3 linked regions of the Arabidopsis thaliana genome follow. The protein of the gene in region 3 interacts with the protein of the main gene of each other region in a pairwise test. Each region holds a gene or a part of one and is shown on either strand. Other genes may lie near its edges. The genes, in order: BT2, BT4 and BET10.

What was found.
Region 1: the proteins of BET10 (region 3) and BT2 interact in a two-hybrid assay, tested with the Arabidopsis thaliana proteins (one study listed by BioGRID).
Region 2: the proteins of BET10 (region 3) and BT4 interact in a two-hybrid assay, tested with the Arabidopsis thaliana proteins (one study listed by BioGRID).

Annotation. Positions count from the first base shown.
Region 1 is NC_003074.8:17,906,913-17,912,693, reverse strand, and holds BT2 (BTB and TAZ domain protein 2), read left to right. Parts: upstream 1-1,955; 5' UTR 1,956-2,222; coding exon 2,223-2,381; intron 2,382-2,458; coding exon 2,459-2,601; exon of another isoform or gene 2,602-2,805; coding exon 2,806-3,109; intron 3,110-3,381; coding exon 3,382-3,722; coding exon of another isoform or gene 3,723-3,780; exon of another isoform or gene 3,781-4,064; coding exon 4,065-4,212; 3' UTR 4,213-4,927; downstream 4,928-5,781. Other genes in the region: CEP3 (Cysteine proteinases superfamily protein), read right to left, coding at 5,324-5,596. UniProt on the Arabidopsis thaliana protein: May act as a substrate-specific adapter of an E3 ubiquitin-protein ligase complex (CUL3-RBX1-BTB) which mediates the ubiquitination and subsequent proteasomal degradation of target proteins.
Region 2 is NC_003076.8:26,930,247-26,934,890, forward strand, and holds BT4 (BTB and TAZ domain protein 4), read right to left. Parts: upstream 2,580-4,644; 5' UTR 2,284-2,579; coding exon 2,014-2,283; intron 1,874-2,013; coding exon 1,743-1,873; intron 1,635-1,742; coding exon 1,328-1,634; intron 1,253-1,327; coding exon 809-1,252; 3' UTR 694-808; downstream 1-693. Other genes in the region: AT5G67490 (succinate dehydrogenase assembly factor), read right to left, coding at 4,122-4,448. UniProt on the Arabidopsis thaliana protein: May act as a substrate-specific adapter of an E3 ubiquitin-protein ligase complex (CUL3-RBX1-BTB) which mediates the ubiquitination and subsequent proteasomal degradation of target proteins.
Region 3 is NC_003074.8:274,587-280,744, reverse strand, and holds BET10 (bromodomain and extraterminal domain protein 10), read left to right. Parts: upstream 1-1,903; 5' UTR 1,904-2,189; intron 2,190-2,334; 5' UTR 2,335-2,358; coding exon 2,359-3,438; intron 3,439-3,515; coding exon 3,516-3,564; intron 3,565-3,650; coding exon 3,651-3,734; intron 3,735-4,159; coding exon 4,160-4,243; intron 4,244-4,326; coding exon 4,327-4,442; coding exon of another isoform or gene 4,443-4,499; exon of another isoform or gene 4,500-4,526; coding exon 4,527-4,593; intron 4,594-4,690; coding exon 4,691-4,812; intron 4,813-4,902; coding exon 4,903-5,163; 3' UTR 5,164-5,412; downstream 5,413-6,158. Other genes in the region: TPLATE (ARM repeat superfamily protein), read right to left, coding at 1-336, 441-1,574; AT3G01760 (Transmembrane amino acid transporter family protein), read right to left, coding at 5,475-5,597, 5,675-5,743, 5,844-5,935, 6,035-6,140.

The sequences.
Region 1 (5,781 bases), about 18 Mb from region 3:
CTATTTTTCTGATGCGGAAACTTATCAACAAACTTTGAATTTTTTAGCTTTTTGTTTTACAATGAATCTATTTGCATTAATTTTAAAACTGTGTTTATAATTAAACAAGAAAAATGGTTTGAAATGATGAATTCATTGGCCTAGGACGTGAGATCAAAACGCCAACTCCAAATCCAACCAAGCCAATGTTCATTTCTCCACGTGGCGTTTTTAATGGATCAAAATCATTGCACCAAACCTAATTTCCAACAAATCAACATTTATGCGGCGAACTTACTCCCCAAATCCAACGTAACAATCGCACTATACACTTTTTTTTTTTAATTCCATAAATTTCATAGTTCTTTTTTCTCCAAATTTATAATTATAGACAGGGTCCAAAATGTTTCATGAAAATTAAGTAAAAAAGTAATTAATATTAAAAATGATAAAATATAGGTCAATTACCTAAAAACAGAGTTTTTCTTTGCTATAAATGGTAGGTTAATTTTTCTACCAACATTAAAAAAAAAAAAACACTATTATTTAGTAGTAAATTGTAGTCTTACCTAGATTGATTGAGGAATTTAATGAAATACTTTTACAAAAAAAAATACCATGAAACAATATATGTGATTACAAAAGTTAATGATCTATGCGATTAGGAAGAAAATGTTCGAAATTCAAAGCTATTACTAAGATAGTTAAAAATATATCCAAAACGGATAAGAACGTTCGATTTAAAAGTCATGTATTCATTTATCTTATGGAAAATATTTTAATCGAACACAAAATTCCGTTGACACAGATTGAGTCACACAATGGATAAACAAAAGGATCACAATTGGCAATACAAGAGGGCGTGTAAGATTGGATGAGAACAAAATGCCACGAGGGATGAGGAGAGGTGGCTCTTGGGAAGAGGCAAAGGTCGGTTTATTGCAATAACCGGCTTTTCTAGTTTTTTTTTAATAAACAGCTCTTTGACGCAAAGCCAAAAACAATATTGGTCCCGGATTTGTTCACTTTCCACATTGGATTGATAAGAAAACATAAATCTGCCTACATGGAACAAAAAGGTCGTCTTGTTTTTCGGATCACAAACAAAAGCAACCTTATAATAGTCACTTTTTTTCAGGAACGTAAATTATGCAAATATTTTCATTTTTTGTTTTCATCTTATTTTCCTAATGTTGGGAATATAATACGGACAGTGTTACACGGTGTAACTTACACCGTTGGTCCAGCTCAATACACAAATCAAATAGAACATTATCTATGTTAAATTCTTATGCATGTTACACCAAGTCGGTAATATATATTAAAAGGTTTAAAACAAATATAAGCAATTGAAATTAAATACAAAATTGAGCTTGTTAGTGGGACATTGTTTAACTAACTTCTCATGGAAATTAAACTCATCACTCTTGCTATGGTTGAGACATTGTTTAACTAAGTTCTCATGGAAAAAATGGGGCGCCACTTAAGGTATAAACCAAAATATTTGCGTTAAACCCTAGATAAGCTAAGATGCCATGGAAACAAAACACTGGGCGAGTTTTCTTCTCGTGACAATTATCATCAAAAATTATGGAACAAGTTGATCCTAATCCTAATCCTCTTATCAATATCTTTGATTGTCTTAAAGTTTTTATTTATTTTATTTCGTGATAATTGCATTGTCTTAAAGTTCATAGTTGCATAATAACTTTATCCCCAAACTTTCATGATCTCCACGGACCAAAAAAAAAAAAACTTAGGAATTAGTTTACCAAAAACTCCAACTACTTAAAATTTCAGATATTTGTTGTCAGTATTCAAATACTACACTCGGAAGTTTCGTTCGACTATGATACATATTCTCAGTTCTTTTTTGATGATTCATGGAAGATAAATTTGAATATGAATTCTCCTGTTCGTTATAAATTATTGTAATAAAGACTTAAAGAGTGATCCAGCTTCATCTCTTTATCCACAAATGCTATTCCCGTCACATAAAAATGCCAAAAAAAGAAAAAAAAGAGTGATAATCTAAGTGAAAACAGATCACGAGCGTGTTAGATAAGAATAGAGAGACGCAAAAATAAAATAGATATTTGCGAGACGCCACGTAAGCAACCAAAAGGTTACGGTAGGACCCACCTCGCTAATGTCTATATAACCAGAAATGTGCCAAAGCCTTTCTTCTTCAAACTACCAAACCTACAGAAATCTCTCTTCTTCTTCTTCTCTACAAAATTTCAATGGAAGCTGTTCTTGTCGCAATGTCCGTCCCCGCCACAACGGAAGACGACGGATTTTCGTTAATCACCGATAAACTTTCATATAATCTAACGCCGACGTCGGACGTTGAGATCGTTACCTCCGATAACCGTCGGATTCCGGCACACTCCGGCGTTCTGGTAAGTTGTTATTTATTTTGGTTTACGGTTTACATTTTTCTGGTTTGGTTTTTAGCTAAAATTTGTGGATAATGCAGGCTTCAGCTTCACCGGTACTGATGAACATCATGAAGAAACCGATGAGACGTTACAGAGGCTGTGGATCTAAAAGAGTCATCAAGATTCTTGGCGTTCCATGCGACGCCGTTTCGGTTTTTATCAAATTCCTCTACTCTTCTAGGTTGGTTTGGTTCGGTTATTCTTCTTGAATTTTCCAAATGTAGAAACTTCAAACCGATGGTTATTTCCGGTACTACACAATTTTCCCGGTTTTTCTTTTTCATACACGGATTTGAAGAAACTCTGTTTTTTTTTGGGCTATTTTCTTGGGGAAACAATAGCTGTCAGGAAATGACTAAACTACCCTTTTGCGTCTCTGTTTTAGTTTGACGGAGGATGAGATGGAGAGATATGGAATCCATCTTTTAGCGTTGTCTCACGTCTACATGGTCACCCAGCTGAAGCAACGGTGCTCAAAAGGCGTTGTACAACGTTTAACTACAGAGAACGTAGTCGACGTCCTCCAGCTAGCTCGGCTCTGCGACGCACCCGATGTTTGCCTTCGATCTATGCGTCTGATCCATTCGCAGTTTAAGACCGTTGAGCAGACTGAAGGATGGAAGTTTATTCAAGAACATGATCCTTTCCTCGAGCTCGACATTCTCCAGTTCATCGATGACGCCGAATCGGTAAACTTACTTATATGTTTTGAAAACACAGCATCTCTGTTTTTCTTAGTACCTTCGATAACACATTTTGTTCAGCTAGGTTTAGTTTTTGTTCCGCGCTAGTAAAAAGATAATTTTTTTTTTTTTAAATTCAGTTTATTTAGTTTGGCATGTTGCACAAAGTTTAGAGTATTAGTTAACTCATGTTTGATTAGATTTGGTTTATATACCTAATTAACCCCAAAACATTTGGTCATTTTTCTGATTATGTGTTGATTTATAATTTAACGCAGAGGAAGAAAAGAAGGCGACGACATAGAAAGGAGCAGGATCTTTACATGCAACTAAGCGAGGCAATGGAGTGCATAGAGCACATATGCACACAAGGTTGTACATTGGTCGGTCCATCAAACGTAGTAGATAACAACAAAAAGTCAATGACTGCGGAAAAGTCAGAGCCTTGTAAGGCGTTTTCCACGTGTTATGGTCTTCAGCTTTTGATACGTCACTTTGCCGTATGCAAGAGGAGGAATAACGATAAGGGTTGTCTTCGTTGCAAGCGGATGCTTCAACTCTTTAGACTCCATTCTTTGATTTGTGATCAACCCGATTCTTGTCGCGTCCCTCTCTGCAGGTATGTCCCAACTTGTTTTGTTAGGAATTTCACATTTGAAATAAATCAAAAAGTATGAGCGAATCCATTTACGCTTAATTAGTAAGTTTGAAATTGATGATTTTTAGTATGTTTATGAATAAAAACCAATGTTTTGTTGAAAGTGAAAAAATTTCATTTTTGGTAAGAGACAAGGTTTGTTTATCTTTTTGTGTAGACCCACCTTTAGAAAAGTTGCAAATTGCTATGTGAATTGATGATGGGTCGTAATCCGACGGCTGCAAATTGTTGCCATTTCTTGAAATTTGTAGATATTTTAATAGAATCTCATGTGTTCTTTTCAACTCTTTTTTTTGGGACTAGGCAATTTAGGAAACGGGGAGAACAAGACAAGAAAATGGGTGAAGACACCAAGTGGAAGCTTCTGGTGACAAGGGTTGTGTCTGCAAAAGCTATGACGTCGTTGTGTCAGTCAAAGAAGAACAAATGTGAACAAGCACAAGGGGTTTAATCAAAACCAGGAAGGAGTTAGTTAGGTTTGAAGAAGATTAAGTAAGAAGCTTTCTTATAATTTGATATCCATTCTTTTTGTAGTATAATAGTATTTGTTAGTTCGATTCTTTATTAGAGGGGTTTAGTTTGTATAGGAGTAAACCCTTTTAAATTGGCTGTATAAGTAGGTCATATTCAATTGTTTTGTTCTATTTATCTGAAAAATGTCAGCATGTAATACAAAACAAATAAATGTTCAAATTAAAGGGAGGATTACAAGAGGTGTTTTTAATGTTATTGACTTTGGCCAAAATTTTGAAATTTAGATAATTCTATCCGTTGTTTCGCGATTACAAAAAAGTTGAATTCAAACGTGTGTTGAAAATAAAAAAATATCGTGTTTAGCGTGATTAGTGATTACAAAGACTCAAATTTTTGACTCCCAAATATGTTCAATAATATTGGTAAGACATTAAGAACATGAACCAATAATCGACCGTAAAACATCTTTGGCGATGTTTTGGTAAAACCTAATTTTGGTTTTGGTGTGGCTTCATAGGCTTGGTGCGCCGTTTTACCCTTCTAAGCCTATGAGCTTCTCTCCCGTTGGGTTTGTTTACCCTTTTGATTTGGACGTTTTGGTTTTTGTGTTTTAATTTATGTCTTTAATTTTTGTAATCTTTTACAAGGGTTAAGTCCAATGTGTTTGTTCCCAGTTATGATCCTAAAAATGTCAATAAATATGAAAATAATTTGAAAAAAAAACATCTTTACAATTACAAAACGTCCATCTTGGAGAATTGAATTGCACTTTTTGTAATAGTAAAGATGTTTTACTGTCCATTATTGTTTTATGATCTTAATAATTACAAACACTATCCTCAAAAGTTACAATTCTTGGCCATTTTGTAAGTCAATTAAACTTGCACATAGTAAAGTATTTAACGCCATTTTTCCGCAAAGCAAATGCTGGCCAATATTACAAGGAGATAAAAATCGTCTCAATTTAAGATGAATACACGATAAATGTGTAAACTGAAACCCATGAACCTCAATCCATAAAATAATAAACTCAGTGTAAGCTCACTAGAAGAATGGTTCGAAATTCAGTTTTCAATGACTTAAAGTCTCTAGAGCTCGTCTTTAACATCATCACGAACTACTGACTCATGAGTAGAAGGAGTCGAAGAGAGCTTGGTGGGATAAGAAGCCTCCATGGCTATACCGCAACGTCCTTCATTCTCCGATATTCCTCTTTCTATCCGAACATAGCCTCCTTCTCCCCATTCAGGTCCCCATGAGTTCCTTACTATCCAATATTTTGTTCCATTTTTGGTCTCTCCATACCCAACAATCACCACCCCGTGGTTCAACTGAGTCCCGCATTCTCCGATAAACACACCCTACAGTAGAATGCATAGCACGTTTTCTATAGTAAAAACAATGTTCGGCATTTGTTGTCTCACTAAGATTGATGTTTTAGATTATGTTCACCATAAACTTATATTCAAAATACTTAAAACATATGCTTTTTGTATATAATATGCTTTATTTGCATAGAGAAAATTTTAATAAATCAATTACTATA
Region 2 (4,644 bases), on a different chromosome or scaffold from region 3:
AAGACACGAAGAATTAAATTGGTGTTTCTCAAGCCGGAGGAGATATCAGACATTGAGTTGGTTTAGTCGGAGAACACGGCCGTTTATAGAGTAACAAACACTATTAAAGTCTATAAATGATCAAATTTTCGTAACAAATAAGGAACCTTTTTTTTCTTAGTTTTTTATTTGTCAGCAATTTAAATATAGATAGATATATATATGAAAATTTCGTAATTTCTTGATTTTGGTTAAGTTTTGTGTTTCTTTGTTGTTGAAGGAATCAGAACCCAATACGAAAGTGATTAGAAAAAGGGATTTTGAAAGGAGAAGAAAATATATACTACACATGATACGATCATTGTTGAGGATTTGGTTTTGTGACAATGAATGTTTCCAACATTACTAATTTAATGAAATAGAAACATGTGATGTGAGTGAGGCCGATTTTGTGTACACTTGTACCACGTCCTCTCAGCTCTTACTGCTTTTGTCTTGTTCTACGTCACTTTTTCCCACCACGATCTTTTCGTTTCCTTTTTTCCATATTTGGATTTATTAAAAATAACAAAGCAAGTTGGGTCCTATAAAATTTGGTAGATTCTTCTTCTTCTGTTCATTTCACAACAAGATGACTCACTGAGCTTATTACCAATTTTGCCACTTAATCACTAAACCGATCCGTAGACCGGATTTGATATTCCAGAGACTCTCTTGGCCGACCAAAATATGTGTCATTTATTCAAACTCATTATGTTACACTTGTTTTAAAGATAGGATCACAAGAAACGCTTAAAACTCGCCCTTCTTGAGATTGACAAAATGTTTTTTAACAGTTTGTCACCGGTAAAAAGAAAGGAGAGCCTCCGATTTTCTTACTCCCCAATACATTCTTCACCAGAAGTTTCCATCTCGACTCATCTTTCTTGCTCTGTTTCTCCATCTTCTCCTTAAGGTTTCTGCATAGAGGGACTCGACATTGATCAGAACCTGCGCAAACACGTGAATGCAGTTCAAGGAGTTGCCACATTCTCTTGCAATGCACGCAACCTCCTGGAACTCTTAGCTTACAGCCTGCGAAATGCCGGATCAGTGATTCTAATCCCTTGCAAGCTTCATAGTTACACGTTGCATGGTTCGGTTTGAAATCTTTATCGTGTGGCCCTATTGTTTTACATCCATCTCTGCATATATGAACAAGTGCTTCCATTGCTTCGTATAGCTGCGAATATATCCTCTGATCATTGCGTTTTCTCATCCTCTCTTTCCGCGTCTGCGTTTATGTTCAAGATTTAGAATTTAGGAGAAAATACAGGGAAAAAAGGAAGTTTATTAAATCACTACTTACATTTGCTTCGATGATTACTGAGTCTCTAACTTCTTTCTCAAGAAAGGGATGGCTTTTCTTCATAGCTGTCCATGCTTCTGTCGCAGAGAGTTCGTTAAAGTGTTTCATGATCATACGGTGAGATATGAGGCTAAGCCGAGGGAAATCACACAGCAGCGCAAGCTGGAACACATCAACCACATTCTCAGTGGTAAGCAAACCATGTTCTAGATGCCATTCACAGACCCGTTTCAGCTGAGGAACCACGTACGCGTGTGACAGAAGTAGCAAATGCATGATAAACTCGTTCATTTCTTCTTTCTCATAGCTACACAAAGGAAATCAGATTTCGTCAGTGAAAAGATCATAAGACGAATGTTAAAAGAGGCAGAGCAAATAAATATAGAGAGCAAGAAGAAATGGAATTTATATATACCAAGAAGAGTAGAGGAAACGGATAAAAACTCGCACAGCATCATGAGGGACACCTCGGATTGATATTGTATGCCACTTGCCATGTCTCTTGGCTTGCTTCAACATGCCTTTGATCACAGTGGAAGCAGTTCCCTATTAATTCAAGAAAGACAATGTCCATATCAACCAAGTCTAGACCTTTCTAATCAACTGCTAAAGTCTGTATTCGCTTAGCTAAAGATCCTAACTACACATTGATAATTATGGTCAAAGGAGTTATAAGGAGAGCTTACAAGGATGTTGGCATGAGCATAGATGATACTGCCATTATCTGTATAGATGACTACATCAGCTTTGTATCCGTCATTGAAAAGACGATCCCACATATCTCTTGTGGCTGTCGAAACGCTGCTATGCCCAAGTTTTTTCTTGAGTCCATCAGATTTTGATGGAAGAGGAGGAGGAATTGGCACAGAAGATGAATCTGCAGATTTGAAAGATTGATGAAGATCAACACAACCTGTCACCATTCTCTTGTTTAGCTTATCTTCTCTTCCCTGCATCAATCAAATGAAAATATATATTGTCGATTCTTTAGCCACAGATAAACTTCATTGTCATTTCTACACGAAATATGTGACTCAGACAACAATTTTCACAGCATTATGTAACCAGATCTCATTTACGATTACAAATCGAATAGGATAAGAACAAATCTCTACATATATATTCACACGAAAATATCAATCAGAAATAACAAGAATTCTTGAAACAGATCGATAGAAAATGTAAGAACAAGAATCAATCAATGCTCTAATTTGTTCCGACATATATACCTTGAAAAGATTCAGACCACAGAATCAGGTTGCTTCGAAGAGGCAAGTCAAACAAAATTAACGAGAAAATCTTCTCCTTGGTAGAAAGAGCATGAGAAGAAACTCTCTCTATAGAGAAGCTTGAGAGATCAGAGATCTCTTACCATTATATAAACACACACACTCACAAAAACAATAGAAGACGACAAAAAAAATCCCACCGAAAGGATAATTTATTGTTTTAATTTCCTTATTATCTCACTTTTTTCTTACTTTTGTGTTCAATAATTTGAAGATATTTTCTTGGTTCATATCATCAACAGAGACACCCACCTGCGAAAATTACCCGAGAGGCGCGTGGAGTCTACGGTTACGAAACGGACGGCTGAGAATCCACGCGCCTTAACGGCCTTTTTTCCTCGTTCTTGAAAAAGCTTTCGTCAAGTTGGTTTTATTATCGGCTTTATCAATTGAAACACGACTCTGCATGTTTTTTTTTTATAAATGATTTAATTTAAGAGCCGTACAAAAACAGATCAGTGTGTCCTTTGTTTTTTTTGTTCTTGTTCGGCGTTACACAGCTCATAATTAGCTGTTCGTTTTTTCAAACTTTTATCCGTATTATTATCCTTTCTTCTTCAAAGATAAATTTAGATTAGTCTTAATTTTAACCACATGATCAGATACTCTCTTCAAAAATGTTAACTAATCGTGAATTATGTTGAGGTCCGCAAAATTGCGTCATAAATATTTTACTGGTCTCTCTTCATATTTCTTAGCTTCGCTTGAATTGATTGTTACCCTTTTTTCCCTTTTTTTCTGTGTTTACTATAATGCCACGTTTCTTCTATCGAATAATCTAAAACAGAAGAAGAAGAAGTCAAAATGCTTTTTATATGATCATTTTCTTGTATTTTTTTTTAGTTTTTGATCGGAGTAAAGTTATAAGAACTTCAAAAAAAAAAAAAAAAAAAAAATGCATGATGATGCCAATCTTTTTCTAACTTTTAAAGAGTATTGGAACATAATACATATATCATGTAAACTGATATTTTTAATTGTAATTTTATATCATATACGGATTTAATTGTAATTTGAGCATCACCCAGTTGTGCAATTGTAGTTATCACAGAAGTGCACATTGCAATGTTGTTGAACAACAGAAATACCTTGACATCATCTCACTGACCCATGCAGCCATGCCTAAACTTGGACCAGAACTCATGTAACCACCGGGTAATGTCAAACCTGAACTCTGAACTCTCAGGTTAGTTAAACTCATCTCTTGTTGTTTCCTTAATTCTAAATCATCACTAAACCTGTATTAAAGTGTCCCAAATTTTTTAGATAGAGATGTATAGATGCACATTTAACCCACCTGAGGAAGAACTTATTAACTATTACTGGAATAACAAGATCACCAGAGAATGATGATCCAAATAAAGGCAACGAATTTGAAGTTCTACTACATTTTCTTCCATTTTCTCCATTATTTTGCAAATACATAAACACATAAAACGAATTTATTTCCATTTTTCCCAGAAATATATAAGAACAAGCTAAAACACAGGGATACATGAATCCTCTCAGAAATCAGAGCATCGACCACGTTGTTCCCAATCGCCGTACCGAGTCGGTTCAGGACCTCTAGGCCCTCCAATCTCACCAGTATCTTCGTTCACAAACTCTCCACCTCCACCACCTTCTCCTTCCTCTTCTTCTTCCTTCTGCATCTGCAGATTCTGTTGAAGATTCTGATCTGGCTTCACGTCCCGGTTCAGATCCTGATTCGGAGATGGAGCTTGCGGCGGAGGAGGTGTACCGGAGCTTAGAAACCGTGACACTGGCTCGAGGAATCTAGAGGAGACGGATCGGCTTGGAGCGATCAAACGTACGATGTTGTTCGTCGCCATTGTTAGATCAGATGTGTCGGCCAAATCAAGAAAGAGATCCGACCTTCACGGTTTGTGATAGTATAGGGTTCGATAGTCATTTAGGTTGGGCCATAATTGGATAATAAGCCCAGTAGTATCTAGGCCCAATCATTTACATGTTTATAAATAAATTAAGAGAATTAGAGAGTAAATTTGGCCCAGTATAATTATGTTT
Region 3 (6,158 bases):
TGCTAACGCACCAATCACTCTGCTCTCCATACCCGAGTTTTTTTGTTCAGGCAAAGGTAGAGACAACTGGAAGCAGCTTTCCACAAGCATTGCCACCAGCTCTTCCCGAAATAAGCTCTTACTGGTAACACTATTGAGATCATCTTTAATCCTTGCATCTTCAAAGAGAGAAATAATATCTGTCCCAGGCAGAGGCTTCTGACCTCTTCGGGCACTTTCTCTGGCAAAAAGGTGAACACAGAGAGCTGTCCGACAGATACAGGCTAATGCGTGCATCCTGTCCGATTCTGCTCTCAAGTTTCTCACCATAAGCAGCAGTCTTCTAAACAACGAAACCTTCGTAACAAATTCCAAAAAGAATGATTCAGAAATCATAGGCCACAGCTTCAAGACAAAGGTACACAACTAACCGAGCTTAAATGAAGTAAAAAACGACATACCTGCATATGCAGATCAAGCAAGTGCAGGTTCGTAACAACGGCCCTGACTATACTCTCTCTAGCAGAGGAAAATTCTTGGCGGTCCCAGAGTGTTAAAATTGCAATAATGGACTGTGAAGCCCACTCTGGCTTGCCTCCGGCAACATCTGCCAGGTAGAGCATGTTAATTCCCACTTCAAAAATCAAAGCTGGATCCAAAGAGGAAGCCAAGAATGGCGCCAAATGGGTAACCAAATCTGAGACGCCAACCAGCTTCTCGGCGTTGGAGTCCACAACGGTGGCATTAGCTGCAGCAGCAGCAGAGGAAGCCTTGGAAAGCTGTCTAATCACTTCGACACTACCGGAAGCAACAGCTTTGACAGCAAAGACAAGAGGGAAAACAGTGGCTCTGAAGGTTTCGACAGGAAGGACTAAAGACCTAGCCATCAAAGCGCTCCTCTTTCTCCATACAATGTCAACCATGGAAGAGACCCACTTGGACCTGATGGCGAGGGAGTTCTCGCTGTCAACGAGCTTATCGCCAGCAAGACGGCTCATCCGCTTGGAGTCGAACTCCTGGAAGAGTCTGCCGACGGACTCAAAGGCAACCTTGGAGACGGCGTCGGATTTGTCGAGCATGTTCTGGCCGATCCGAGCCCACCAGTTGGAGACCTTGTCGAGGAGACCCACATTGTTCTCGCACAAAGTAACGAGATCATCACGCGCGAGGATGCAGCCAAGTGTCTCGGTGATGGAAAAACGAAGGTTGTCAGATGGAGAATCGAAGCAGGAAGCAATCTCAGAGCTGCAATCAGAGATGAGTTTAGGAAGCGAGAAGGCAGGGAGAGCCGCAAGGATGGAGACGGCAGCGGCGGTAACATCCGGGTCCGGAAAATGAAGATCCGTTTTGACACCTGAGCAAACGGTGTCCCAAAGATCCGGAGTGAGGCGGGTAGATCGGATGAGATCGAATGCCAGCTTCTTACAAACAGCTGAAGCCGGAGAAGCAACAATCTCCTCCACAGCAGACTTAGCGATCACAGAGATATCTCTTCCGGCGGCGGATTGCTGCAGCGCCTGAAGAAGCGCCGATGACTGGCGAAGCGCGTCATTTGAACGGAGGTCCGCCTGGATCTGAGCAAAAAGAATGTCCATAACCGGATCGAATTAACTGAAATTCGAGATCCAAAATCTGAGCTAACTAGCTTCGCTGTCAATCTGTGTACGTATGCGACATGGAACTGGAAGAAGAAGGATGTGTAAATCAAACCATCAATTGAAGAAGAAGGAGAAGAAATTGTTTTCGAAGGAAAAAAGCGCGTGCCGTTCCTGCGATTCGAGCTTTCACAGCGTGCCGTGTTGAGTCATCCGTAGACCCAATAAAGGCACATTAAAAAGTTCATTGGGCTTTACATTATAAGCCCAGGATATTATTTTTATGCACCGAAGTATTTGCATTCGATTTTAATTCGAGGGATCAGATCCGACGGTCCAGATTGAGTCCTGCCCAGTAGCAAAACGGCGTTAGACGCAGCATTCGTTAGGGACGGGACACTAGAGAAGGGAGGGCAGAGAGCGATTTTGTTCTCTCTCTACTTCTCGGTCGTCTTCTTCGTCTCCACTCTAGGGTTTTACTCTATCTTCTTCTTCATCATCATCTTCTACACCAATCTCTAGCGTTAATCTGTTTCTGCTGGAGAAGATTTACGCTTGTTCCTCGGTTCTCTTACTTCTGCTCCGGTTCGATCGCTTGCTAAGTGTTTCGAGTTGGTTAGTTCCGAATTTCCTTTTTTATGCATATTGAGTGTTCACTGCTCTCCTCCAGCAATACTATAGGGCTCTAAGAATTGAATTGCTTTCAGGTTTTCATAGTTAGGGTTTCTCAAAACTGACTTAAATATTTTGATTTGTGCAGGTTCGCACTTCGGTGGGCGATATCATGACTGTGAGGAACGGTGGTTTCCCAGGAGATTATAATCGTAACAGTTTTGACTCTCCCGGCGGCTGTGATGATAGCCCCAATGCTTCCAAGGATGATGAAACTTTTGGTGTCCCGAGAATAGTTTTACCCTTGTCTGACTTGTCATCATCAGAAAGGAGAAAGTGGATTCATACGCTTCGTCAGGAGCTGGAACAACTACGGTCCTTTCAGAAGAGTGTTGGGGACCTTCTTCCTATATCTAAGATTGTTACTAGTACACCTGCAAGTAATGTGTCTCGCCCCAAGAGTTTTGGAATGTCACGATGCTCTACTGGCCCTGGAAAAAGGGTGCTCCCCTTCACAGCAACCAAACCAGAGCCAGTCACCACTTCCACTATGCTTCGGATGAAGCAATGTGAGAGCCTCCTTAAACGATTGATGTCGCAGCAGCATTGTTGGCTCTTTAATACCCCTGTGGACGTCGTCAAGCTCAACATTCCTGATTATTTCACCATTATCAAACATCCTATGGATTTAGGAACTGTTAAAAGCAAGTTAACTTCCGGCACGTATTCAAGCCCTTCAGAGTTTTCTGCTGATGTCCGTCTTACTTTCCGCAATGCTATGACTTATAACCCGTCAGATAATAATGTGTATCGCTTCGCTGATACTCTCAGCAAGTTTTTTGAAGTGAGATGGAAAACTATCGAGAAGAAGTCATCCGGAACCAAATCTGAACCAAGTAACTTGGCTACTCTTGCTCACAAAGATATTGCGATACCTGAGCCTGTGGCTAAGAAGAGAAAGATGAATGCTGTGAAACGTAACAGCCTCTTAGAGCCTGCTAAGCGGGTTATGACAGATGAGGATAGAGTAAAGCTTGGCAGAGATTTGGGGTCCTTGACAGAATTCCCTGTACAGATAATAAATTTCCTGAGAGATCACAGCTCCAAGGAAGAGAGATCTGGAGATGATGAGATAGAGATTGACATCAATGATCTCAGTCATGATGCCTTGTTCCAGTTGCGGGATCTCTTTGATGAGTTTCTGCGAGAAAATCAAAAGAAAGATTCAAACGGTGAACCCTGTGTGTTAGAGGTAATCACCTTTCTATATCTCATTCTTGATCCATTTGTTAACATGACTGATAAACAGCGAAAACTTTCTTGATGTAGCTTTTACATGGGTCAGGGCCAGGAAATTCATTGACGCAACACTGTGATGGTTAGCATACACTGGTTTTGTTGTTTGAGCTAATTCGCATGTCCTACTCTATGATTAAGCTGTCATTTCCTCCTCGTTACTTGCAGGGAGTGAATTGGAGGACGAGGATGTTGACATTGGTAATTATGAGCACCCTATATCTCACATCTCAACTGTCAGAACAGAAAAAGGTATGGCGTTAGAGAACTACAGTGGTTTGTTTAATCTTGCTACATTGTATTTGTCTTTTTCTCTATGGAGCTTTTGCAGACGTTTGATGTTTGCAATTCTTATATGTACTTAACCCTCGGAACCATTTTACTTCCCTCTTGTCAGAAGTGGCCGTCCATCTAGAATACTCAATGTTACTTCTGTAGTTTTTTTGGAGTGAAACTTACTGACCTTACTGATAGCAACTCATATTACACACCTAGTATGATAGTGATAGACCTGTTACATTTTCTGCTTGTTTTACTCCCAGGTCGCTGTTTGCTATTTTCTATAGTGATCATATTATCTCTAATCAGTGATTACTCCTCTTTTGGTGCAAAAGATGTTAAGTTTTGTTGATATTAATTAATAAACCTTGGTTTTCTTATTCCCTTTCTAAAAGCAGATTCCGTCGGTGGATTGAATCAGATGGAAGATGCATCCAGAGGGAAGCTAAGTCTTATTGAGGGGGCAGATGGTCATCAAGATGGTAAGCTCAGAAGTGTAGCAGAAAAATATCTGTGCTCTAATATCTGAGGGTGGCATCTCACTCTTGACCCATTAATAATTTAGGAAATAGTGCTCCAAAAGAGAAGGAACTACCTCCAGAAAAGCGTTACAGGGCTGCTCTATTGAAAAATCGATTTGCGGATATAATCTTGAAGGCTCAAGAGATAACTCTTAATCAGGTTAGCTGTGTTTGTGGAGGTGTGAGCTGTTATATCTGGTTAGCCCTCCCTCTTTGACTTTCAAAATTATATTTGTGAGATCAGAATGAGAAACGAGACCCAGAGACACTGCAACGTGAGAAGGAAGAACTGGAATTGCAAAAGAAGAAAGGTATTCTTGATTTGCTAGTTTCGATTTTTTGATTGATGATATATACCAAGTAGTATATACGTACATAAACTTGTCCTCTTATTGTTTTGTGCACCAGAAAAAGCACGGTTACAAGCAGAAGCCAAGGAAGCTGAAGAAGCTCGTAGAAAAGCTGAGGCACAAGAGGCTAAGAGGAAACTGGAACTTGAAAGAGAAGCAGCCCGGCAGGCATTGCTTGAGGTAAATCAAAATTGCTGCCTTGTACCAGTTTGGTTTTATAAACTGCAATACATGTATATTGATCATTGCCATGACTGAATGGTACACCAGATGGAGAAGTCGGTTGAAATAAATGAGAACACAAGGTTTCTCAAGGACCTAGAACTGCTCAAAACGGTTAACACGGACCAGTTACGAAATCTAAGAGATGTTGGCTCTGAGTCTGATGGGTTGGCTGTATTTGGGTTTGGAGGAAGTAATCCTCTAGAGCAGCTGGGGCTATTTATGAAACATGAGGAGGATGAAGATGAATCCGACATGCTTGCGTTTCCAGATCCCGGCAATGAAGTAGAAGAGGGTGAAATCGACTGAGATTCATGAGTGTTGTGTCTTGGATAACAGCAGTCAAGTGTACATGAGTTGTTGTAAAAAATGATAGTTAGATTGATATTTAACCAATGCGATGGCATTTTATCCGAGTAAACAATCAATAACACTTTGTGTAGTGAGTAAAATTTTGGTTAATTCAATAAACCAATGACCGACAGCACCGAGAGAGAGAGGGAGCATGTCTCAGAGTTAATTCTATAGATTTACACTCGAGTTTGGTAATAGAGCCTCTAGACTCTAGTACCAGCGAAATTGTTGCGTCCAACCAATTTATGTTACCTACAAGGCAATCGTCAGTGTTTAGGTAAGTTGCATCTTGAATTAGGTAGAGTGCCCTTTTGAATATTATAGATTAGTTTGGCCAGTCCCCCAATAGGTGCTATGATCATCAGCACAAGCCCAAAAATGATGCAAAACTGCTCCAAAAAAAAAGATTTAACTTAGCTGTAAGTGTCATATTTAGCTTTTGATCTGAGGACTACAAACATCTTACCCAGTTCATACACCATGAGAGACTAAATCTCTTTGGTTTCTTTAGGATCAGCCACATGATGCATGGGATCTGAAAGATAACATATCATTATGTTTGTTAGAGTTATTAACATGTTGATTGAAGTTTGATGATATCAAGAGCAGTTTAAGAGTAGAGTATTCGCGCTTACAAAGTATGTGGTCGGGGCGAACACAAATCCCCCAAAAAATGACAGCAATGCGCTGTAATACGGTAAACCGACCGCTATTCCCATCGTGGCGGCTGCGATATAGAGGTAAGTTAATCAATCATCAAAATGCTACTCCTCTGAAAAGAATGTGAATTTAGTTTCTTTGGTTTGCAAAAATCACAGAGACTTACCCACAAAAGTCCATCGGATGGTAAACCGTAGAACTCTTGTTGGACTGAAGTGCCATATCCTTATCATTACAGATTCGATCATGTCAAACACGGGCATCGCATACACCTAGGAGGACAAAGCAGA